Linked DNA regions of Callithrix jacchus. The protein of the gene in region 4 interacts with the protein of the main gene of each other region in a biochemical or structural test. Links are inferred from orthologs where the notes say so. Each region holds a gene or a part of one and is shown on either strand. Other genes may lie near its edges.

Evidence for each region.
Region 1: the proteins of NBR1 (region 4) and MAP1LC3C form a complex in vitro, tested with the Homo sapiens proteins (2 studies listed by IntAct). The link is inferred for Callithrix jacchus from reciprocal best matches to the Homo sapiens genes NBR1 and MAP1LC3C.
Region 2: the proteins of NBR1 (region 4) and GABARAP form a complex in vitro, tested with the Homo sapiens proteins (3 studies listed by BioGRID and IntAct). The link is inferred for Callithrix jacchus from reciprocal best matches to the Homo sapiens genes NBR1 and GABARAP.
Region 3: the proteins of NBR1 (region 4) and MAP1LC3A form a complex in vitro, tested with the Homo sapiens proteins (2 studies listed by BioGRID and IntAct). The link is inferred for Callithrix jacchus from reciprocal best matches to the Homo sapiens genes NBR1 and MAP1LC3A.

Annotation. Positions count from the first base shown.
Region 1 is NC_133520.1:43,982,194-43,988,781, reverse strand, and holds the start of MAP1LC3C (microtubule-associated protein 1 light chain 3 gamma), read right to left. Parts: upstream 3,557-6,588; 5' UTR 3,458-3,556; coding exon 3,400-3,457; intron 3,299-3,399; coding exon 3,243-3,298; intron 3,088-3,242; coding exon 2,981-3,087; intron 1,133-2,980; coding exon 934-1,132; 3' UTR 1-933.
Region 2 is NC_133506.1:73,732,044-73,738,480, forward strand, and holds GABARAP (gamma-aminobutyric acid receptor-associated protein), read right to left. Parts: upstream 3,298-6,437; 5' UTR 3,175-3,297; coding exon 3,085-3,174; intron 2,516-3,084; coding exon 2,437-2,515; intron 2,297-2,436; coding exon 2,178-2,296; intron 1,751-2,177; coding exon 1,685-1,750; 3' UTR 1,257-1,684; downstream 1-1,256. Other genes in the region: CTDNEP1 (CTD nuclear envelope phosphatase 1), read right to left, coding at 4,975-5,035, 5,351-5,435. UniProt on the Homo sapiens protein: Ubiquitin-like modifier that plays a role in intracellular transport of GABA(A) receptors and its interaction with the cytoskeleton.
Region 3 is NC_133506.1:4,744,059-4,749,813, forward strand, and holds MAP1LC3A (microtubule-associated protein 1 light chain 3 alpha), read right to left. Parts: upstream 2,880-5,755; 5' UTR 2,733-2,879; coding exon 2,693-2,732; intron 2,598-2,692; exon of another isoform or gene 2,529-2,597; coding exon of another isoform or gene 2,522-2,528; intron 2,370-2,521; coding exon 2,314-2,369; intron 2,226-2,313; coding exon 2,119-2,225; intron 1,837-2,118; coding exon 1,674-1,836; 3' UTR 1,257-1,673; downstream 1-1,256. Other genes in the region: GPI-anchor transamidase component PIGU, read left to right, coding at 736-849. UniProt on the Homo sapiens protein: Ubiquitin-like modifier involved in formation of autophagosomal vacuoles (autophagosomes). While LC3s are involved in elongation of the phagophore membrane, the GABARAP/GATE-16 subfamily is essential for a later stage in autophagosome maturation.
Region 4 is NC_133506.1:120,736,201-120,741,928, forward strand, and holds the end of NBR1 (next to BRCA1 gene 1 protein), read right to left. Parts: intron 2,814-5,728; coding exon 2,640-2,813; 3' UTR 1,273-2,639; downstream 1-1,272. Other genes in the region: uncharacterized protein LOC144582689, read left to right, coding at 612-1,056. UniProt on the Homo sapiens protein: Ubiquitin-binding autophagy adapter that participates in different processes including host defense or intracellular homeostasis.

The DNA.
Region 1 (6,588 bases), on a different chromosome or scaffold from region 4:
GTGCATTTAAATGACTATGTTGAGAAGTTACAGCTTTGGCATAAATATGTCTGGTATAGCAGGACAAAAAGAGAAAATAACCACATAGAGTGAACGCTGGGGAAACAGGATAATCTCTCTAATGACACAGGAGAGGGCGCCTCCAGGTGAGCTTATCATGGGTCACACTGGCTTCATTGGGTTCCACAGAGGCAGTCTACAGGCTGGAGGTTCTCTAGGCCTGAGCCCTGCAGGGCATCCCTGCCTACATGCAGGGAGTGAAATCCACTCCCCAATGGCCCTCCCACATATAGCACAGAAGACACTTGAAAAATATTATCTCCAGCTCATCACACAAAGCCATCACACAAGCCAACCATTTCTTATTTAGAATAGAGTTATATGGCTGGATGCAGTGGCTCACACCTGTAATCTCAGCACTTTGGGAGGCAGAGGTGGGTGGATCACCTGTGGGCAGGAGTTTGAGACCAGCCTGGCCAATGTGGTGAAACCTCGTCTCTACTAAAATTACAAAAATTGGCCTGGTGTGGTGGCATGCACTTGTTATCCCAGCTACTCAGGAGGCTGAGGCAGGAGAATCCCTTGAACCCAGGAGGCAGAGGCTGTGGTGAGCCAAGATCGTGCCACTGTACTCCAGCCTGGGCAACAGAGCAAGAACCTGTCTCAAAAAAAAAAGAGTTATAATTACAAAACTTTCAAGAGCAGCCCACATTTTTCTTAGAAGAACACAAGAGCATGGAGCACAAAAACTAAACTAGGAAGAGCCACCACTCTGCTGCCAATAGCTGGACCTGATCACTCCCAGCATCCCTGCTTCTCAGACTCCTCCATATACATACAGGAGAAATCCAATCCCTTCTGCCAGCGGCTGATACGTCTGTCAGAGCACCTGTTCTTCCCCACATGGGCTAGAGAGGATTGCAGGGTCTGTCCTCAAGGCTGCTCCCATCCCAGGGGGGCTGATGACTCCAGGCAGCCAAACGTCTCCTGGGAGGCGTAGGTCTTGTACACGAAGCCGTCCTCATCCTTGTAGTCCCTGTAGATCTCTGCCATGGTTGCACTCATGCTGACCAGGTTCTTGTTGTTCACCAGCAAGTAAAAGGCTTCTGTGTCTCTCAGGACCATGCGGCTCCTGGGGTGGGCAGGAGGGTGGTGAGGGGGTGACCTGTGAGGCAGCCCAGGGATCTGCAGCATCATGACGCTCAAGAAGAGGGAATTGCTCCCTCCTTCTTCCCTGAGATTTAGAAACTACAAGGAGTCGTAGTTGGGTCAAAAGGGTGAGGTCATTCCATGGATGAAATATGCCAAAACACGACGAGGAAACACAGCAGGGAAAGATGACGACACAAACCTGCTAAGCGCGCTGGACAGGCGCCGTGGCTCAGGCCTGTCATCCCAGCACTTTGGGAGGCTGAGGCGGGGGAATCACAAGGTCAGGAGTTCAAGTCCAGCTTCGCCAAGACGGTGAAACCCCGTCTCTACTAAAAATACAAAAGTTAGCCGGGCGTGGTGGTGGGCACCTGTAAGCTACTTGGGAGGCTGAGGCAGAGAATTGTCTGAACCCAGGAGGCAGAAGTTGCAGTGAGCGGAGATCACACCACTGCACTCCAGCCTGGGTGGCAGAGCCAGACGCCATCTCAAAAAAAAAAAAAAAAAAAAAAGTTAAGTAAATAACTTCTGTTTGCTATGAAATTAAAGCTGTTTCCCCAGGGGTACAAAAGTGATACATAGTCTCTCTGGCATCTCACTTTTTTTTTGAGATGGAATTTCACTCACTCTGTTGCCCATGCTGGAGTGCCATGGTGTGATCTCAGCTCACTGTAACCTCCACCACCCAGGTTGAAGCGATTCTCCTGTCTTATCCTCCCAAGTAGGTGGGATTACAGCCGTGTGCCACCACATTCAGCTAGTTTTTGCATTTTTAGAAGATACGGAGTTTCACCATGTTGGCCAGACTGGTCTTGAACTCCTGATGTCAGGTGATTCACCTGCCTTGGCCTCCCAAAGTGCTGGGATTACAGGCTCGAGACACTGCGCCCGGCCTGGCATGTCACTGTTGAACAGCCTAGGATGACACTTGGAAGGGATCTCCTGCCTTGAAGTGTGCCCTTTCCTTCCTGTGTTATTTCTGCGTTCACATCAAGGCGATAGGAAGGCAGCCATATTTAGTTGAACACGCTTCAAATGCCAAGGGCAATCTGAGTGCCCAGTTATCCCGGAGCAGATGGCAGTGTGAAAACGTAGGTGCCTAGGTGAAGGCTTGGCCTCACTTTAAGCACACTTCCTCCAGGTGCTCTAATTGGTGAAGCGGGCACAGCCCACCCATTCCTATCTTAGAGCTTTGAGCCTTCAGGTGGGCTATGTCCATGCAGCAGTGGGAGATGGGAGTAACTAGAATCCAATTCATTTTACACCCAGATAACTCCTCCCCAAATAACCCCAAAGGTTTGGTCACTGACAATTATACAGCCATCTTTGTGTAAAATAAAATAGAGTAATTTTTTCTTTCTTTCTTTTTTTTTTTGAGATGGAGTTTTACTCTTGTTGCCCAGGCTGGAGTGCAACGGTGCAATCTCAGCTCACTGCAACCTCTGCCTCCCAGGTTCAAGCGATTCTCCTGCCTCAGCCTCTTGAGCAGCTGGCATTACAGGCGTGCACCCCCACACCCAGCTAATTTTTGTATTTCTAGTAGAGTCAGGGTTTCACCATGTTGGCTGGGCTGTTTTCGAATTCGTAACCTCAGCCTCCCAAAGTGCTGGGATTACAGGCATGAGTCGGTGCACCCGGATTTAAAATAGAATTATTCTAAGAGCATCTTTTCAGGGCACTAGTGAATCTGAAAGATGACTTCAAAAAAATCTCTTTCCTCTCTTTCCCTGACATACCCCCATCCCCAAAATAAAACCACCTAACGAAGGAAACAGAAGAGCCCCCACACACCCCCGACACCTTCCTCCCGGGCACGCTCTGCGCCACCTACCGGATGATGCTGAGGGACTGGGTCATGGTCAGCTCCTGCGGGACCAGGAACTTGGTTTTGTCCAGCCGGGGCAGGAACTTCTCCCTGGGGTAGCGCTCCACTATCACCTGTCAAGAGCGTCAGTCCTTAAGAATGTGACTCAGAGTTCTCTGAGTCTTAGGATCTTGGAACAGAGAGAGGGAAGTTGTTGGCTGGTCTTGGTTTTTTCAAAGGACAGGTTCAGAACCCCGCCCCCCACAAGGGAAGTACAATGATGTCTTACCGGGATCTTGTTTGGGAACTTTGCCCAGATTCCAGCAACTTCCTCTTGTCTGATTGCTGTGAATATTTCAAGCACAAGAGAATAAGCAAACATCAAGAGAAAGCCAGATCCTCTCCTCTCTTTCGAGTAACCCAGAAAGGTACCCCAAGAAATTTACCCAAGCTTTTCCTCTGCTTGAAAGGTCTGACGCTTGGGATTTTCTGTGGAGGCGGCATTTCACTCAACAGCTTTGTCTGTTTTAAGAAAGAAAAGAAAAGAAGAACAAAAGTACTGCAACCAGGAACCTAATTCATTCCTCCAGCTGCTTCCAAACTGCCTGCAGGAGCCTGCAGGGGGCCCTTATGTAGAGCTGAGTGACATCAGGCCTCTGCTCACCCGCCTCCCCCTCCCCGAGCAGCACGAGGTCAGTTCTGGTGGAAATGGAATCGCCACCTACTTGCTGGTCAGAGAAAAGCCACTTTATTCATGACCAGTTCAAGATGTTTCTTTGCAAAAGAAATTAGGGTTTGTAATAAAATCATTGGCTAGGCAGCGGACCGTGGAGACGTAAAACTGCCTTATGCTGGCGACGTTTCTGTACTTCAGTAGAGAACCACCTTGAGAGGAGTCCAAGATGGATCCACCTCAGCCTGAAGTGTGCTGTGTAATTCTCACCACAGTCCGTGCCCTTTTCACAGAAGGAAACCTATACTAAGAAAGGTGAAGTGAGGCCGGGCGCAGTGGCTCACACCTGTAATCCCAGCACTTTGGGAGGCTGAGGCAGGCAGATCAGGAGGTCAGGAGTTCGAGACCAGTCTGGCCAACATAGTGAAACTCTGTCTCTACTAAAAATACAAAAATTAGCTGGGCATGGTGGTGAGCACCTGTCATCCCAGCTACTTGGGAGGCTGAGGCAGGAGAATCGCCTGAACCTGGGAGGTGGAGGTTGTGATTAGTCAAGATTGCACCACTGCATTCTAGCTTGGGCAACAGCGTAAGACTTGCCTCAAAAAAAAAAAAAAAAAAAAAAAAAGGTGAAACGATTTGGCCGAGGGCACACAGCTACACAGATGCAGTTTGGATTAAAACCCATAGTTGTCGGCCAGGCGCAGTGCCTCATGCCTGTAATCCCAGCACTTGGGAGGCCAAGGTGTGTAGATCACCTGAGGTCAGGAGTTTGAGACCAGCCTGGCCAACATGCTGAAACCCCGTCTCTACTAAAAATACAAAAATTATCCAGGTGTGGTGGCAGGAGCCTATAATCCCAGCTAGTTGGGAGGCTGAGGCAGGAGAATCACTTGAACCCAGGAGGTGGAGGTTGCAGTGAGCTTAGGTCCAACCATTGCACTTCAGCCTGGGCAACAAGAATGGAACTCCATCTCAAACAAACGAACAAGCAAAAACCCGAACAAACCCAGAGTTGTCACAAGGAAGTCCAAGTACAACACTCTGGTAGGTATATTTTGTCATTTAGTTTTCTCTGGGATAAAAGAAGGAAGGAAGAACAACTGCCCCCAAGATCTCCCTTTTAGAGTTAAGAAAATGGGCCTCTAGTCATACATAGAGGGAACAAATGCCATTTCTCCTATATTCTCATAACAAAAATCAGAACCCTAGGCCTTTTGGGTTTTTATAGAGGTTTTAGTACATCCGCAAGATTGATTAAACCGTTGGCCACTGATAATCAATTTAACCTCCAACCCCTCTACCCTCCCCAGAGGCTGGAGGTGGGGCTAAAAATTCCAACCCTCTAATCTCACCTTTGTCTTTCTGGTGACCAGCCCCCATCCAGAAGCTATCCAGGGACTGCCAGCCATCGGTCAACTCATGAACGTTAAAAAAGACACTTATCACCAGGCCAGGTGACTCATGCCTGTAATCCCAGCACCTTAGGAAGCCAGGGCAGGTGGATCACCTGCAGTCAGGAGTCCCATATCTGCTTGGCCATCATGGTGAAACCCTGTCTTCACTAAAAATACAAAAACTAGCCAGGTGTGATAGTGGGCACCTATAGTCCCAGCTACTCAGGATCCTGAGGCAGGAGAATCATGAGAACCCAGGAGGTGGAGGTTGCAGTGAGCTGAGATTGCACCACTGCACTCCAGCCTGGGCAAGAGAGTGAGACTTCATCTCAAAAACAAAAACAAAGAAAATTCCAAGAATTTTAAGAAGTTGTATGCCAGGAAATTTGATGAAAACAAAATGTATTTCTCAATATCACAAGGCCTTAGAAATTAACCCCCTGTGCCAGGCATGGTGACTCACGCCTATAATCCTAGCATTTTGGCAGGCCAAGGCTGGGGGATCACCAGAGGTCAGGAGTTGGAGACCAGCCTGGCCAACATACCAAAACCTCATCTCAACTAAAAATACACGCAGGACGAGGTGGCTCACACTTGTAATCTTAGCACTTTGGGAGGCCGAGGTAGGTGGATCACAAGGTCAGGAGTTCAAGACCAGCCTGACCAACATGGTGAAACCCTGTCTCTACTAAAAATACAAACATTAATGGAGACCATCCTGGTCAACATGGTGAAACCCCGTCTCTACTAAAAATACAAAAAATTAGCCGGGCATGGTGGCGCGTGCCTGTAATTCCAGCTACTCAGGAGGCTGAGGCAGGAGAATTGCCTGAACCCAGGAGGCGGAGATTGCGTTGAGCCAAGATCGCGCCCTTGCACTCCAGCCTGGGTAACAAGAGCGAAACTCCGTCTCAAAAAAAAAAAAAAAAAAAAAATACAAACATTAGCTGGGTGTGGTGGTACATGCCTGTGATCCCAGCTACTCGGGAGACTGAGGCAGGAGAATCACTTGAACCCGGGGGGAGATGGAGGTTGCAGTGAGCTGAGATCACGCTATTGCACTCCAGCTTGGGCAACAAGAACAAAACTCCATCTCAAAATAAAAATAAAAAAATAAATGAATAAAAAACAAATAAAAATAATGGCATCACTGAAGAGATAAGTGGCCTCATCCTCTTTCCCTGTCTTAAAAAAGAGGTATGCTGTCAGGTGTGACTATTAAGCAGCAGGTATGCAGTGTTCTGCACTAAAGAACCTTTCTTTCTTTCTTTCTTTTTTTTTGACAGAGTTTCACTCCTGTTACCCAGGCTGGAGTGCAATGGCGTGATCTCGGCTTACCTCAACCTCCGCCTCCTGGGTTCAGGCAATTCTCCTGCCTCAGCCTCCTGAGTAGCTGGGACTACAGGCACGCGCCACCATGCCCAGCTAATTTTTGTATTTTTAGTAGAGACGGGGTTTCACCATGTTGACCAGGATGGTCTCGATCTCTTGACCTTGTGATCCACCTGTCTTGTCCTCCCAAAGTGCTGGGATTATAGGCATGAGCCACCGTGCCCGGCCTTTCT
Region 2 (6,437 bases), about 47 Mb from region 4:
CAGGGCCAGGCTCCCGACCCCCTCCCCGAACTCCCCCGCCGGGCTTCGGGGCTCGACCTCCAAGTTTGCCAATTGATTCCTCGCCCGCCCCGCGCCGGCTCCGCGCTCCGTGCCGGTCTAGAGCTCACCTTCGGGGCTGGGCTCCGCCATGGCTTCCAGCATCGCCCCCTCCCCTCCTCCCGGTCCGGCGCCCCCCTCCCCGGAGCCGGGGATCCCGGTGCCGCCTCTACTGCTCGGTGCTCCTACTGCTTCGCTCCACAGAAGTGTCCGCCTCAGCCCGGTTGAGACGAGTCCGCTAGCCGCTGCCGCCACCTCCCTCTACCACTGCCTCCCGCACTCCCGGACCGGGCCCCCTCCCCCCGCGCCGCCGGCCGCCTGCTCCCTCCTCCTCCTTCTCTCTCCTCCTTCCCTCCTCTCCCTCCTCCCTCCGCCGGCGCCGAGGCGCAGTGCACCAAGGGTTTTGTAGTCCGTACGGGTTCAGCGGAAAAGGGACCGCATGAGCCTCCGGAACTTGGATTCCCAGAAAGCCACGGGGTGACGCAGGCGCACCAAACCGCTCCCCTCCCCCGGGGAGTGGCGGGGAGACCGGGAGCCGGAGGGGAGAGCGGAAATGCGCGCGCAGACCCCTGGGAGATGTAGGCTGGGCGGGACGATGAAAGAAGAGGAAGAAGGGATTAGAACTCTCGGCCACCATACTGCCTCGTTCTGCAGCTTCTTTCTTCCCCGGGGGACCGCCCCACTTCCGGCCTGCGGGAGAAATGATCACTGGGAGATGAAGTACTCCTGGCGATAATGGCTCCCTCCTCCCAGTCTTCTCCCTCCCTGATTCCACTCCTCCGGATCCCACTCGCCGGCAAAACTCTAGCCAAGTGACATACAACTGAGAACAGCCGTTTTACCAGCTCCTACACATGAAAATATCTTAATTAAAATGTTCTAATAAATGTCCACCTAAAGCAGGTACTTTCGAACAGTATTTTTTACATAAGCATATTTAACATTTAGTTTCACATATGTGTCATAAAACTAAAGTTTTATGAAATGATACTCAGTATTCCATTCCATTACAACAAAATCACCCTCTCTTTGCAGACCGGGAAAAGCTCAACATGAACAGAATAAATCAAAATATACTTCTATCCCTCCAGCTTGTACCCATTACTCTTCTTTCCCCACCACTGAAACCCACTGACGCCTTGGAAAGACTAAAAAACAGCGGGAGGAGGGGAGCAACACAAGGCAAAATTCAGCTCAGCTTGGTGGTTTCTTCTTTATTGATGTGCCTCTTACCTTCCCCCGACAATTTCAGTCCCTTCCAACTACCCCCAAAAAAGAAGGTAGTGAAAGGAAGGGATTGCTGGGGTTTTGAGCCCCTTGGGCAGTCAGAAAGGGAACAGAAACCAAAACAATCACTAGATGTGACAGAGACTGACAATCAAGAGTCTAAAGCAGAATGGGAAAGGCCGGCAGAGAAAGGGGAAAAAAGGAGAAGGGAGAGGTACAAGATGCCAACTCCACCATTACCCCTCCTAAGAGAGGCTGGAGAGAGAGCCTCAAACATTAAGAAGTGCCGGTCCTGAATAAGGGAGGTGGTATTTGAGCTTGAAGGAGGAAGAAGTCAAGAAAGGGGGGCCACCTCTCTCTTTGTAGAATGAGAGCCCCCTCCAGCTCAAGGGCAGCAGCTTCACAGACCGTAGACACTTTCGTCACTATAGGCAATGTACAGAAAGAAGTCTTCTTCATGGTGTTCCTGAGATGAAAGCAGAAAACTGTTCAGCAACTGGGCTCCTAACTTACTTCAACCAACCACCACCCAAACCAGTTTATGGTCTTCTAGAACCACAAACCAGTGCCCGACTCCTTCACTGACTCCAAGGACTAGCATAAGCAGTATAATCTCTGCAGTCCTGGGCAAAAAGACCTTAAACGGTTGTCTGCTGCTCTGGAAAGGGGAGGAGGACTGGGAAGAGTCCTGATCAGAAAGTTCCTCTAGCTCACTGTTCTCTTTGCGTCTCTCTACTCCTACTGTTCTGTTCAAACCCCCAACCCACTGCTATCATGAAATTTTAAGGCAAGTCAGGAAGCTAGTGCAAAACTACTGATGTAACAACACTTTCTTCCGCTCACGCTCTTCCAGAGGCTTCTCCAAAGCCTCCACCACTTCCAAGTCACCGTACCTGGTAAAGTTGACCCATTGTGGCACTGGTGGGTGGAATGACATTGTTGACAAAGAAAAACAAGGCATCCTCAGCTCGGAGATGAATTCGCTTCCGGATCAAGAAGTAGAACTGACCAACTGCAAAAGATACAAGGTGTGAGAAAGTCAGAGAGGTCAAAAATGCCCTCAAAAGAACAGCTGCTAGGTGGAGCCTCCTCCTGCAGAGACTGCACTCCCACCCACAGGAAGCAAGCCTGGGTCTTGGGTCAGGTTCCCACCTGTGAGATCAGAAGGCACCAGGTATTTCTTTTTGTCCAGGTCTCCTATCCGAGCTTTGGGAGCCTTTTCTACTATCACCTGATAAAGAGAGGATGAAAATGAGGAGGCAGAGGAATGCAGCCCCGCAGCTGCACCTGTCAAGAACTCAAGTAACAATAACCCTTGCACCTAAATCTACCCCAGACTCATCTGTCTTTGCACACGCGGTGCAGCCCTGAGTCCCAGAGATCCTGACCTTACTGACTGGAGTTCATTTAAATAGCCAGGATCCATCCCCCGAATAGGGCGTCACCATAAACAACTATCTTAATCAGATGGAGATGACTTGTCTGGGCCGACTAGTGCTTCAATCTCACAACCTCAACTAGCTGGGGGGATGACCACTTGAAGCTCAGGCTGTCAAACTCTCTTAAGGCCTCCACTCACAAATGCCAAGGTTTCTCTCTCCTGTCTACATCCCTCTCTACTCCAGGTCCACCACTACCCCACCCCTTTCATCCTCGGTCCCAGGGACAGCAGTTTCAGGGTCGCTTCCAATCCCGCCATAGCCAGCAGCCTGATCCTCCCGCTGCCCGTCCCAAATCCAAGGCCAGGCTGTGGCGTCAGCGTAAGCGTCCCGCGCCCTCCGCCCAGGCTACTGTCCTCACCGGCACCCGGTCCGGGTATTTCTTTCGGATCTTCTCGCCCTCAGAGCGGCGCTTCTCGAATGGATGCTCTTCTTTGTACACGAACTTCATCCTCCCGAGAACCGGGCTGGACCGGGCTGGGCTGAGGGAACCCGGGAGGGGGGGGCCGGACGGGGGACGGCGGCAACAGTGGCGACGGGCGGGCGGAATCAGCGGAGCGATCCACGAATTTGCGCCACTTCCCTATTCACCAACCCCGCCCCCGACTAACAGGACGGCCCCCCCGTTAAGATACGCCACTACCTCATCGGCACTAACGCTGCTAGCGTAGCAACACCCACTGACCCTCCCCCTCACGCCATTAGCGTAATCGCTTTGGAATTAATGTGTGGGATACGCAGAAGACGTAGCAAAGACGGTTGGTTTTCACTCATTGAAAATACCTCTAAACCTATTCCCCAACCTCCCCCTCAAGGAAGCTGGGGCTCAAGAGGAGTATGAGATGGTAATAACCATGAGACTTGGTTTCCCAAGTTCCTTTCGGAAATAACGTAGAGGAACAGCAGAGACAATTACAAGGTCGGCTATTCACAAAACGCGTTGCTACGCTGAAGGCGGCCGTTGACACCAAAACAAAGTAGTACCCAAGGGACAGAGATGATCTCCACAAATAAGAGTTCAAAAAGAAAACGGATGTTTGGAGAGATGTACAGAACGCTTAAGTACCAGGAATGAGTAGACCAATAGGGACTGGAGAGGAGGTCCAAGAGGTAAGGACTACGCCAGCGCGGAGGAACATCGCAGTTTGAGTGAAATCATGTGATCTCAGAGAGGGCGGAGCGTCACGTGGCGGGTGCGGAAAGTAGGGCCGGCTGGGGGGGCGGAAAGTAGGGCCGGCTGGGGGGGCGGGGCCAGCTGAGCAACGTCGGGGAGGGGCCCCTCTTCCGAGAGCGGAGGTCGAGGCGGCCCTAGGGGGCAGCGCCCGCGTAGTCTGTCCATATCAGTGCTCCCATCGAAGCCCGACGTTTCTCTAGCTCTACGCCCTTTGGCCGCCCAGGTTTCTCCTTTCGGCCTTCAATAGCCTACTGCTCCAAAGGTATCCTTCCACTCCACACCAGTGCGCCCATCCTGTCACTCGGCCCTTCCCGCCAAAGCATCTGGTGTCCACATTCACTATTGTATCCTCATGCTCAACAGCACCTTTCCCCGTGCCCTCGAGTCCAGCAGTAGGCTCTTCGCCCACTGCTCTGGAGACAGGGTGCATGTGAATAAAGTGCCCTCCCCTCACTTCCCAAAACCCCAGAGAAGGACCTAAGGGCCGCTTTGGTTTCAAAGTTATAATGCATGGTTTAAAAGAGAGGAAAGGAAAAAAGACAAAGCTGGTTACAGGTCTGAGGGAGTCTAAGGAGAGAAAAATACGAGAGTAAAGGGGGGACAAATTGAGGGAAAAACCAGTGGCCCAAAATCCCCGTATCCCACCCACAGCCCAGCCCTTGGAGCAGGAGTGAAGAATTAGATCAGTTTTGTACAAGAGTTTAAAAAAAATCAAATCACAACAAAGCTGACTTGGCTTCTCTTTGAGTCTCCTGGATCACCGTATGTCTGTCACTCTGGCCAGTCCTGCCTCTCCATCACAAACACTGTTTCAGCTCTCCTAGGCCTCCGCCTATGTCCCAATCTGGGGTTTCCACGGAGTGTGAACACGAAGTTAGAGTGAGGCTGCTTCAGAGCTCCCAGCCCATGTGTCCATCCAGACTCCAAGTGGAGTGTAGAGCTCCCAAGGGCAGCGAGGGGTGGGACGGGCAGACCCTGCCCAGGCAGTCCTCACATTGGACAGGGTATCAGACGGCATCCCAAGGGCTAGCCCTCCCTTTCCCCCCCACCCCAACTCAGGTGGAGGGGGAGCAGCTGTCACCAGAGCCTATGTTGGTGAAGGTTTCGGCTCAGCACGGAACGGACATCAGCAGTGAACCTAGGATGACAACGACAATAACTTGCATAGGTAGAGCTCCTTATATTGATACCCTCATAACACTAATATAAGATGCATCATTGGAGGGGTGGGGCATACATTATCACCATATTCACATGATTAGGTAGGTCCAATTTGCCCACAGCCTACTAGGTAAAGTGATGAGCTTTGACGTAAGAAGACCTGGGTCCAAATGTTAAATTCTTAAGGGAAGAGAGCTAAGTAAAACAGGACAAATGTTTTTTATTCCCTCTTAGGATCTCCCACCTCCTCCTTTCCTCAGAAATCCAAGGGTCCAGAGCCCACTTCCCTTACCTGAGGGCATCCAGCATCGGGAGCAGGTTGAGAAGGGCTGTGTCGCTGGGGTCACTGAACCAGGATTTGATGGGGATGGCATTGTCTAGGGTAGGTAGGTGAAAATGCAGAAGAGAAGAAACAGAATTGAAGAGAGACTGGGTGTTTTTCTCTTACTGTAGAGAAGGAGGAATTATTATTTAAAAATATATACCTCCCACTACCGGAAGTCAACAACCTAAGTAAAACTTTCCTGATTTATACTCCAAAATAAAATTAAGGTTTTTTTTTTTTTTTTTTTTTTGTAAGACTTCAGTCTCACTCTTCTCCACCAGGCTGGAGTGCAATGGCGCAATCACAATGAACTGCAACCCCCACCTCCTGGGTTTAAGCAATTCTCCTACCTCAGTCTTCCAGGTAGCTGGGATTACAGATGCCTGCCACCACACCTGGCTAATTTTTGTATTTTTAGTAGAGATAGGATTTCACCATGTTGGCCAGGCTGGTTTGGAACTCCTGACCTCTGGTGATCCGCCCAACTCAGCCTCCCAAAGTGCTGATGAAAAGAGGCGCAAGCCACCACGCCCAGCCTAAAATCAAGTTTTAATCACCAGATCTCATACTTATTGATGCTTCTAGTCAAACTTATTGCCATTGTGCCTCACTTGAAACACACTTGGCCTGACACAGTGGCTCACACCTGTAATCCTAATACTTTGAGAGGCCAAGATGGGAAGATCACTTGAGCTCAGGAGTTTGAGTCCACCCTGGGCAACATAACGAGATCTCATCTCTACTAAAACTCAAAAAATTGGCTGGGTGTGGTGTTTCACGCCTGGAATCCCAGCACTTTGGGAGACCCAGGTGAGCAAATCACGAGGTCAGGAGTTTGAGACCAGCCTGACCAACATGGTGAAACCCTGCTTCTACTTAAAAAAATACAAAAAATTAGCTGGGTGTGGTGGTGGGCACTTATACTCCCAGCTACTCAAGAGGCTAAGGCAGGAGTATCGCTTGAACCCGGGAGGTGGAGGTTGCAGGGAGCTGAGATCACACCACTGCACACCAGCCTGGGCAACAGTGCAAGATTCCATCTCAAAAATAAAAA
Region 3 (5,755 bases), about 120 Mb from region 4:
AGCCGGAAGAGGGTGGGCAGGGACCTGGGCAAGGTCTCAGAGCGCCAGGGAGTTTGAGCTTTGCCCTAAGGCATGGGAAGCCTTTGGAGGATTTGAAGGCTGGAAGTAACAAGACCAGATGTGGGTTTTGAAAAGCTCCCTCTGGCTGCCAGGGAGAATGGGGTGGGTGTGAGTTTGAGAGCAGGGAGCCCAGGGACCAAGCTTTGCTATTTAGATGACAGTGGCTGTCTAGAGTAGTGACTGTGGGGATGTATCGAAAGGGTAGATTTGAGTTTAGGTCATGGTGGCTTGTTGTATGAGAGACGTCTCAGGCAATTTTGTGGCCTGGGCACCTGGATGGAAGATGGGGGCATGGATGCCCAGTGGGAGAAGTGGGTTTGACAGGGGGAAGGTGAGTTTGATGTGGACCTGGCTGGGGTGGAAGTGCCTGTCAGAGGAGGGGGCACAGGCCTCTGGTTGCACAGGCACCAGGCTGGCATTCGAGGCCAGAGCTTAGGATGGAGGTGTAGACCATGGGTGGGGGCACGGGGAGTCTGGACAGCTTCTGAGAGGCCAACAGACCTTGCAGTGTCAAGTACGGGCCCTAAGGTGGGGCCCTGCGCAGGGCCTCTCCAGTGATTGTTGATTCAGGGCCAGGCAGGGGCTCTGTCTCCCATCACCTGCTAGCCTCTCAGGGGTCCTGGGTTCACGGGGTGGTACCCTGCAGCACCTCACATCCTCTCTCTCTCCCCCCAGATCCTGCTCATCTCTGATTACTTCTATGCCTTCCTGCGGCGGGAGTACTACCTCACACACGGCCTCTATTTGACGGCCAAGGACGGCACGGAGGCCATGCTTGTGCTCAAGTAGGCCTGGCTGGCACAGGGCTGCATGGACCTCAGGGGCGGGAAACTGGGCCAGGCCCTCCAGCCAGAGTTGCCAGCAGGCGAGTCCTTGGGCAGAAGAGGTTCAAGTCCAGGGTCACAAGTCTCTGGTATCAAAAGGGACCCATGGCTGACTGCAAGACCTCTGGGGAGGAACTGGGAGCTCTGGAAAAGGCAGGTGAGCAGGGCTTGTTAGGTTGTGGCTACTTAATAAATGTTTTTTGTTACGAAACCTACCCTGGGCCCATATCTGCATTGCACTCCTGGGGGTGGCCCCTAATGTTCTGGAAAGTACACACAGGTGTGTGTTTCTGGTATGTCAGAGCCCAGGGACGGTTCGGACAGCCCCACCAGCACCCTCCCCACTCCCAAGCAAGCAGCTGGAGGCATAGGGCCAGGCAGGCCTGAGCAATCTTTATTCTGCAGAGGGACAATGACCACAGATCCATACACCATGTGGAGATGGAGGGGTGGGGGGGCCAGTCTTTCAGGGGTGGGCAGGTCCAGGTAGTGGGCAGAGCCTCGGGTGGGTGAGGGGCAGGCAGGGGCCTAAAAAAAAAGATGAACCACACAGCAGGAGTGTGGGGGGATGCTTCCCACCTTCCCCCATCCCAGCCAGCACCCAGAGGGGCAACCCTAACAAAACCACTTAGGGGCAGAGGAGGTGGGTTGGTGCCCTCTGACTACGGGGCCACATCCCTGCCCAGCCCACCCCCAAGCAGAGGCAGCTCAGTTCAGGAACCAGGGGTTCTCTGGGCAGGGCCTGACCGGGCTTCCCCCCACTCCCAGGCCGACCCCCCTACTGCTGGCTCAGAAGCCGAAGGTTTCCTGGGAGGCGTAGACCATGTAGAGGAAGCCGTCCTCGTCTTTCTCCTGCTCGTAGATGTCCGCGATGGGCGTGGACACGCTCACCATGCTGTGCTGGCTCACCAGCAGGAAGAAGGCCTGAGTGGGGTTCAGCTGCAGGCGGCGCCTGAGGCAGGCGGGAGGGTGTGCGGCTGTGAGGGACGTGGCTGCAGGGCAGGCACAGCCCTGACCCCCAGAATGATTCCCAGCCTTTCACATCCATCCTCACCCCAGCTCTCACCTCTGACCCGACTCCAACTGCAGCCCCGACCTTGACCTTTCCAGCCGCGCCAGAACAGGGGCCCACCGCCTGGTCCCATCACTACTGACCCCACTCCCACCTCCTCTCGGCGGGAACCCGGCTCCCCGCCAGACCCAAGCTGCCTCCTGGCGGCGGCTGCCCACGCACCGGATGATCTTGACCAACTCGCTCATGTTGACATGGTCCGGGACCAGGAACTTGGTCTTGTCCAGGACGGGCAGCTGCTTCTCACCCTTGTAGCGCTCGATGATCACCTGGGAGCGGGGCAGGCGGGCAGGGGTTCGTGTCGGGGGCGCGCGAGGCGCGGCCAGGGCGGGGCAGGGCTGGGGGCACCGGACTCACCGGGATCTTGCTGGGGTGCTGGTCGCGGATCTGCTGTACCTCCTTACAGCGGTCGGCTGCGGATGGCGGCCGGACCTTGAGGCCGGGCTGAGCCGGGCCCAGGTCCTCCCCGTGTCTCCGCCCCGCCTGTCCCCAAGGGGCGGCCCCCGGCCCCGCCCCAGCTCCAGCCCCCGCCCCCGGGGCCGGCAGGCCCCACAGCCCCTAGCACCTATCATGGTGGGGAGGTGGGCGGCCTCCGCCCAGGCTGGAGTCAGCCTCCCATCCCGAGGGTCCGGCTGGGGCCTGACGTCACAGGACTGACGTCACCCGCGGTAGTCGGGGTCGGCCGGGCCCCCGCGTACCCCTGCTCCGAGCTCACAGCTTGCCCGCGGGGCCTCACCGAAGCTCCGCCGCTGCTTGAAAGGCCGGTCTGAGGGCATCGCGCGGGCCCGGTTGGGCGCGCAGGCCGGGGCTCTGGGACGTGGGGATGTGGCTGCGGTTTGGGGGCTCCGGGGGCTCCGTGCCTCACGCTGAAGGGCTCCGGGGCTCGCGCTGAGCGCGGCGGCGGCGGCTGCGGGAGGTAACTCGCCCGGTGACGTCAGGTCACAACATTCCTTAAAGGGGAGGCCGGCGCACTGCTCCCATTGGGCCGACGCACAACCTGCCCGCCCGGGCTCATGACGTCACGGCGCAGAGCCCCTGGGTCCCCGGCTCGGGACGCGAGGGGCGGGGCTCCTGGGCGCGTCACAGTCCTGTGACGTCATGGCCGGCCCAGGAGTCTCTCCCGGCGCGGAACTCAGGTGAGGCCTGGAGGGCGGCGGGGCTGCCAAGGGCTGAGGGAATGGGCGGGCCAGGCTGCAGCCCCGCGGCACCGCTCCCCGCGCCCTCACCGAGTCTGTGCCAGGCCTGGCGCGATTCTGGGCACCGTGGGAAACAGCCGGCGCCTTCTAGGGGCTCAGGACGAGAGACGGGAGAAGGTGCAGGAGGCACAGGATCAAGCAAGACATCACAAAAGAAGGCCCAGGTTTGCAAAGGAATTCTAGAATTGACAAGTAGAGCCATGGAAATTCAGGTCTCGGAGGATGAGGTGTAGGACAGCAGAAAAGAGTGCGCGGACCTGGAGGCTGATCGGAAGCAGCTCACCAGAGAGACAGGTGATGGAGAATAAAAAGGAAAAAGCCACGGATGGCAATGCCGGGAGATCTCACAGGCCGGGGCAGAGCTCCCTGCAGAGGCAGTTCCTGAAGGAGAGCTGCCAGAAGTGATTCTTAAAATCGGGTGGAATGCAAACACCGGAGATGAACATCTGGACGCTAGTGAATCTGCAGAACTCCAAAGACTATGCGATTTTAAAAGCGACCAAGGATGATGGATTTTAAAAATTACACCAATAACAAACTTCTCAGCAGCAAACGTAGAAGGCTACAGTAAAATGTAACGCTTTACACCTCGTTGACAGGAAAAATGCTGTCAACGAGGTGTTGATCCATGATTTAAGAGTTAAGAAGTAAAGATAGGTGGTGACAAAGAGCTTACACGAAAGACTGTTGCTGAAATTATTTTTGGGGGGTGGGACTGAGTCGTTCTGTCGCCCAGGCTGGAGTGCACTGGCGCAATCTCAGCTCACTGCAACCTCCACTTCCCGGGTTCAAGCGATTTCTCCTGCCTCAGCCTCCTGAGTAGCTAGGACTACAGGTACGTGACACCACACCCAGCTAATTTTGTATTTTTAGTAGAGACGGGGTTTCACCACGTTGCCCAGGATAGTTTTGATCTCCTGACCTCGTGATCCATCCGTCTCCGCCTCCCAAAGTGCTGGATTACAGGCGTGAGCCACTGAGTGCGGCAGCTGAAATAATTTTTAAAGAATGTACTTCAGTAACAAGCACATGGAACCGAAAAGGAAGAAATTAGATGGAAAAATGGTGAGCAAATTGGTAAACGTGAGTAAATCTAAACAAGCATGTAATATGCAACATGAATAATGATTAATTTGCGGGCTACAGAAACAAGATGTATGAGACGCAAGAACTTGGAAGACTGAGAGGGCAGAGTTAAGGTGTTCTCGGAAGGGTAAAGAGACTGAGCATTGTTAGGCTTTGTAAAGTTAGGTGAGTATTTCAGATATTTAAGAGGGATCATCAAAAGAGTAGAAACGGAACTGTAACTGCCAATGCCGAGAAAAGGGTGGTGATGGGTATTAAAACTAATAGCAAAGTAAAGCAAAGTAAAAGGGATGGTAAATAAATGGTACAAAACCCGAGGCAGAAAATGTGGTTTACCTTCATTTCTCAAAACACAGATTACCAGATCGGCCAAGAAAAAATAAAATGCAGCTCTATGCTGTTTACAAGAGGACATTTAAAACCTAAGGGCACCAAAAGTAAAAAGATGGCAGCTGGGTACAGCGGCTCACGCCTGTAAGCCCAGCTCTTTGGGAGGTCGAGGCAGGCTGATCACTAGGTCAGGAGTTGGAGACTAGCCTGACCAACATGGTGAAACCTCGTCTCTACTAAAAATACAAAAATTAGACAGGCATGGTGGTGCACACCTATAATCCCGGCTACTCAGGAGGCTGAGGCAAAAGAATCGCTTGAACCCCGGAGGTGGAGGCTGCAGTGAGCCACGATTGTGTCACTGCATTGCAGCCTGAGCAACAGAGCAAGACTCGGTCTCAAAAATTAAATTAAAAATTAAAAAGTTAAGATGGAAAAAGGTATGCTAGAGAAAGACTAACCAAAAGATGTACCTATAGAAAACTCAGACAAAATAGGCTTTCAGGCAGAAGACACTGGGGATAAAGAGGATCACCAGGAAATGAAAGGAGGAACTCTATGGAGAGAGAAAAGTTTTGAACTTCCATGTTCCAGGGTTTCTTAAGGCTGAAAATAGGCTAGGCATGGTGACTCATGCCTGTAATCCCAGGACTTTGGGAGACCAAGGTGGGCAGATAACTTGAGGCCAGGAGTTCAAGACCAGGCTGGCCAACATGGCAAAACCCTGTCTCTACTAAAAATACAAAAATTAGCTGGATGTGGTGGTGCATGCCTGTCATCCAGCTACTTAGGTGGCTGAGGCAGGAGAATTGCTTGAACCTGCTATGTGGAGGTTGCAGTGAGTCGAGATTGTGCCGCTACCCTCCAACCTGGGTGACATACCTGAAATCCCAGCACTTTGGGAGGCCCAGACTGGAGAATTGCTTGAGCCCAAGAATTCAGGGGTACAGTGAGCTGTGAATGCACCTCTGCATTGCTGCCTAGGTGACAAAATAAGACCGATTTCTTTTTTTAAAAAATCAGATTTTTATTTTTTCCATCTCAAAAAAAAGGGGAGGTTGCTGAAAATAGATTAAGAGTACAAGGAGAAATTGCCAAGTTCTCCATCTTAGTGGGAGACATGAGACCTCTGAGTAACTAATAAACCAACCAACCAAAGGCCCGGACTGGAGAATTGCTTGAGCCCA
Region 4 (5,728 bases):
AAAGGGAAAAGAAAAGCAGAAGTTATTTCACTTTAAGGAACTTCTGTAAGTGAATGGCAGAGGATTTAGTTTTTCTCTGGAAAAGTTGCTGAGCTATCATTCACTTCAAAGGAAGGAAGTTGGATAGGGCAGAAAAGATTCCTTGAAACAAGGAGAGAGGAGGCCAGACTGGTCACAGGTGTGGTTAAGACCCCTAAGGAAGCCCTGGTAGAGAAAGCAGATGCCGCACTGCTTTCTCAGGCGGGGTAAGAAACCCTGAGGAGAAATCAGGGTCTTTCACTAGGAAAAGTCAAGGATAAATCTGGACTCTGTGTGGCACAAGGAGGCCGGCAAGTGAGCCACACAGATCTTTCTGGGCTAAAATACAGGGAGACTCGCCTCGTTCAGTTCTGGGATCCCAGGCTCCTCAGCTGCATAAGGGCGACATTTCAGGAGTGTGTCTTTGGGGAGAAGGGCCTCTAAGGGCAGAGTGGGCTGGGTTGGGCGGTGGTGGGGAGGAGAAGCGCCGCCTGCCGCCTTCAGGAGTCCTAGGGGACCGAATGTGTCGCACTAGAGAGTGAGGATACTAAGGACCCTGACCTCCCCGAAGGGCCAAGCTGATTCCGGGGTACATGGCGGCTCTGTCATGGGCCGACAGGGTGTGCGCGGACGCAGAAGGTGTGACTTCATTGAGGGAGGATTTCAAGTCCCACCAGATACCCCGAGAGGCCGTTAGTCAAGTTCGGTACCCGGGCACGGGGCGCCTGTGTGTAGGGCGAGGCGGCGGCACAGGAGGTCTCTTGACCTCCGAAAGGGAACGCAAAGAGTCTGAGGAGGGTCTTACCAGCGGACTATCGCAGCGACAGAAACGGCAGCAAGCGGAATCGAAAGTGGGGAAGCGGACACTCGCCTCAAGCTTTGACTCAGTGCCCAGGGAAGTCCCGCCCCAGCCCCTCTGGGCCCACCCCCTCGTCCCCGGGCCCGCCCCTTCGCCAAGCAGCGGCCTGAGACGCTCTCGGCTCTCCAAACGTCACCTGAGGCCCCGGACGCTGCTTCGGCAAGGACTAGCCAGTCCAGGTAGGAATTTCCAAGAACATTTATTTCACCATTCTTTAAGTGGTTACGTAAAATTAAAACGGAGCGGACGACCCGGACCTTCCTGGCCCTCGACTATAAAACGCCGATGGTCAAGACAGGTCCCGCCCATCAACCCAATTACAGACACCCAGCTGCTCCATCTTCAATCCGGAAGCCCTAATTAAAACGTTTTAAATAATGAACGGCCTGGTTGGCTTGTAGTTTTAATCCTGGTTTATTTAAGTAGCATTCAGGATAATACTGCAAATAAACATCATTATGGCTAATGACTAATTAAAATCACCATTCATTACAAATACCAACCAGGTTAGATAATACTATTTTAATTATCTTTCCCCCCTTCGGTCTGGGGTTCAGATTCTTCCTTTTCTGGAAGTCATTTTCATGGATAAAATGTTTAGCATTTTTTGTTACCTCTTCCTTCACCAACTCCCTTCTGTAAATAGAGAACTTGGGCCCCTGGACGAGCTCTGTCCCACTTACCTTGGGGTTAAACCAAAACTTTTTCAGCAACTTTGCCCTCGTCCAAGTTCTGCAGAACACCAGCTGCCTCTTCCTGTTCTAGGCTTTCTAGGGCTAGATACCTCTGAATGGACTTCATGCATTAAAGAAGTCATCAGCATTTCCTATACCTCATACGCACTAATTTACCCACCCTGAACTTTACTGACATTAATTTAGGAGCCTGCCTTTTGCTTTTCACATGTTTCTATTTCCCCCACTGTACTGTAAAATAAGATCTGCCCTGACATTAAGAAAAAAGGTAACTGTTAAATGTATTTTTCCCTTTAAATAATAGGACTTTTTTCCTTTTCTATTAGGTTAGCAAAATATTTCACACTACCTACTTAATTTTTTTTCCCTTAAATAAAAATGTATGCAGAATTACTATAACAGACATCGCTCAATAGGTGCTGGTGGGTTAATCAGCACACTCTTCCTCCTCTCACTGAAATGCAGAGATCCCTGAAAGTTGGATACCCTTGAATGCACCATGGAGTCTTTAGCAATAGTGCCAATTATTAAGTCTTGCAGGAAAATTACTTTCTCCTTGAGAAAGGAATAACAACAACATTTCTATCATGCTCTGGGTGTTATTTCAATGCCAAATAACTATGAAGCTTGGGGTAGATTACAGAAATTATGAGAATAGTTCTTGAAAACAACTTCCAAGGTTAATTTCTTTCAAAACCTGAAAATTAACAGATACTCCCATAAAATATCCACATTAACCAAAGAAAAATACCCAACTTCAATAAAAGCAGAAAGAAAAATGGTTCTATACGAACTTGAAGTTACACTTGTCGATGCACTAAAATAAAGGCGTTTTATCCAAATCAAAACTGTCTTCCTACTATTCTATTCATCCAATGTCTAAAGTGAAAATTTAAGTTCTGGTCTTTGATTTGCTCCCCCAAATACTGTAATAGGTACTGTCTTGGTAACTCAATGATGGGCTCTATACAGATTCATCAGATGAAAAATAAGCAAGTGCTTAACCCCAATGACAGAATAAAGATCATCTCTGAGCAGCAGGCAATTATTTAATACAAGGTCACTCCTCAATAACGTTGGCTGTACCAGTCGTTGTTGTTAATCTGAAGAAGTTCTGTCACAACCTGCAGGATGTTGTAATTATGTTTCTTCAGCAGCCGCAGGTTCAGCTGCCTGTCACAGAATCCCATTTCAAAGAGATGGGCCATCAGGGCTGCTGTCTGATCTTCAGAAACTAATGGCTGTGCAGAGACAAGAAAAGCAAAAAAGAAAAAAAAAATTCTGTATAATTTAAATGTTTATTTTGTACATTTTTATCATCTTGTAAGCATACCAGTCTTTCCAGATTTATTCAAAGTGCTAGGGAATTAGATTCAAGGCTGTGTCACTCCTGTGTACTTGACACCAACAGTTCGGACGAGGAAGGTCCTGTCTTACATTAGGTATGCGTGTACTTGAAGGAGGAGAAAAGGGAAACTGGGGAGCTAGTAAACTGTACTTCGTACTAGGAGGATGCTTCATGGGGGACTTTCAGGAAGAAGCATTTTTTGGCCAAATGAAGGAATGACAGCAAGGCCCAGAGACCTTGTGAACATAAAGGTAATTGTGATGGTGAGGCAAGTATGAGCAAAATCAAAGTGTTACTGAAAGATGGTATGAGAAATATTGTCAGACATGCATAGGAGCTGGACAAAAAAAAAAAAAGCTTGGGAAATTACAACCTGGGAAGTCGTCTTGAGTTTTTCTCCTCCAAAAGAATAGGTAAGAGAAAGTTAACCTTCATCCAAGTCCTGCAGTAGAAGCACTACCTTCCCAAATCCTCCTAATTATGCTGTTTGTTTGTTTTTTGAGACCAGGTCTCACTTTGTTCCCCAGACTACAGTGCAGTGGTGTGAACGTAGTTCACTGCAGCCTCAGCCTCCTGGGCTCAAGTGATCCTCCTGCCTGAGCCTCCTGAGTAGCTGGGACCACTGGTCTGCCTTACTACACCGGGATAATTTTTAAATTTTTACTAGAGATGAGGTCTCACTATATTGCCCAGGCTGGTCTTGAACTTCTGGGCTCAAGTGATCTTCGAACTCTGGCCTCCCCAAATGCTGGGATAGATGTGAGTCACCTCACCTGGCCTCTGGTTCTGTTATTGTCCCAATTTCACAGACTGGGGATGAAGCTGTGCAGCAGAAAGATTATTTAAACTTTGGAGGCAGACATACTTAGACTCAAACCCTAATCTACCATTTACTTACCACCATTTACTTACCAACTGTGCTATCGATTCCTTTATGAACTGAAGATGTATCAAACCTCCTACTTTGCAGTATTGTTGAGAAAGTATGTAAAGATGGGAATAGTATGCAAACATGTTGAGCACAATCTGGTATTTCCCTCACACCTGATTCCACTGTTCCCTTCTACCTTCTTATTTCAGAATAGATTATCCATCCTCTTTTCCAGGTTAATAGAATGTACCTTGCTTTGTATCTCATTACCTCTCATTATTTCAGAAATCTTCCTTCATCTCCAATCTGTCTCTCATCTTTATCATTAACCTCTTTCACTACTGGCTTGCCCATCTCTAAAGTCTCACCCATCTTTAAAAATGTTTGTCTTATGTATGCTAGCTTCTGCCTGTTGTAGCCTAGCTATTTGAAAGTGTGGCATACTTGCACACTCAAAGTCCTCACCACCCGTTCACATCTCTCTGTAGCCATGTCCCCCTTATTAAAACACCCTTCCTCTCCAGCACAGAACTCTCTCTTCATTTTCCTCCTAGTTCTGTTTTCTTCCAGAGTATTTTTTTCCTGATCCTTAAAGGTTGCTTCTTGCTTTCCCCATTATTCCTGGATCATCTCATCCCATCAGATGATTCCTGCTATAATCTCTAGACAAGTGACTCTTTAACCTTATATCACCAGGCCACATCCCTCCCCTATGATCTGGATGGATACACCTGGCCTGCCATATCTGTAGGTTCCTTATCTATGGACCAATCAACTAAGGGTTGAATATATTTGGGGGAAAAAAAAGGAACATGTACAAACTATTTTGTCATTATTCCCTGAACAATACAGTATAACAACTCTTTACATAGCATTTACATTGCATTGGGTACTGTAAGTAATGTAGAGGTGATCTGAAGCATATGAGATGCACTGGATGCAGTGGCTCAAGCCTGTAATCCTAGCACTTCGGGAGGCTGAAGCAGGAGGAATGCTTGAGGCCAGGAATTAGTTGCCCTGGGCAACATAGTGAAACCCCATCTCTTCAACAATTTTTAATTTTTTTTTGGTGCTATGACTTGGATTAAAAAAAAAAAAAAAAAAAAAACTAGCCAGGTGGATGGGTGTGGTGGCTCATGCCTGTAATCCCAGCACTTTGGGAGGCTGAGACAGGCAGCTCTCCTGAAGTTCAGAGTTCGAGACCAGCCTGGCCAACACGGAGAAACCTGTCTCTAATGAAAATCCAAAAAATTAGCTGGGCGTGGTGGTGCATGCCTGTAATCCCAGCTACTTGGGAGGCTGAGGCAGGAGAATTGCTTGAAGCCAGGAGGTGGAGGTTGCAGTGAGCCGAGATCATGCCATTGCACTCCAGCCTGGGTAACAAGAGTAAAACTCTGAAAAAAAAAAAAAAAACAAAAAAAAAACAACCAACCAAACACACAAAAATCTAGCCAGGCATGGTGCTGCCCACCTGTAGTCACTGCTACTCCAGAGGCTGAGGTGAAAGGATTGCTTGAACCCAAGAGTTCTAGGCTGCAGTGAGCCACCATCTAGTTACTGCACTCCAGCATGGATGACAGAGCAAGACCCTGTCTCTAAAGATGTGCTAGGTTACCTGCAAGTACTATCCGGTTTATATAAGCGACTTAAGCATCTATGGATTTTAGTATCCATAGGGGTCCTGGAGCCAATCCCTCATAGATACTAAGGGACAACTGTATATCCAACTGGACTCTGGATATCTTTACCTTTACCTGGATATGCCGCAAACTCAACAGTATTCAACAAAACTAACCTAATGCTCTTCTTTTGCTCAAATACATCCTTCCCAGCATATCCTATCTTAATGAATGGTACTAAGCCAGAATGGTATTTAAACATTGCCTAAGCCAAAAACTTAGAATTTATCCTTGATTTCTCCCCCCGCCCCCAAGACA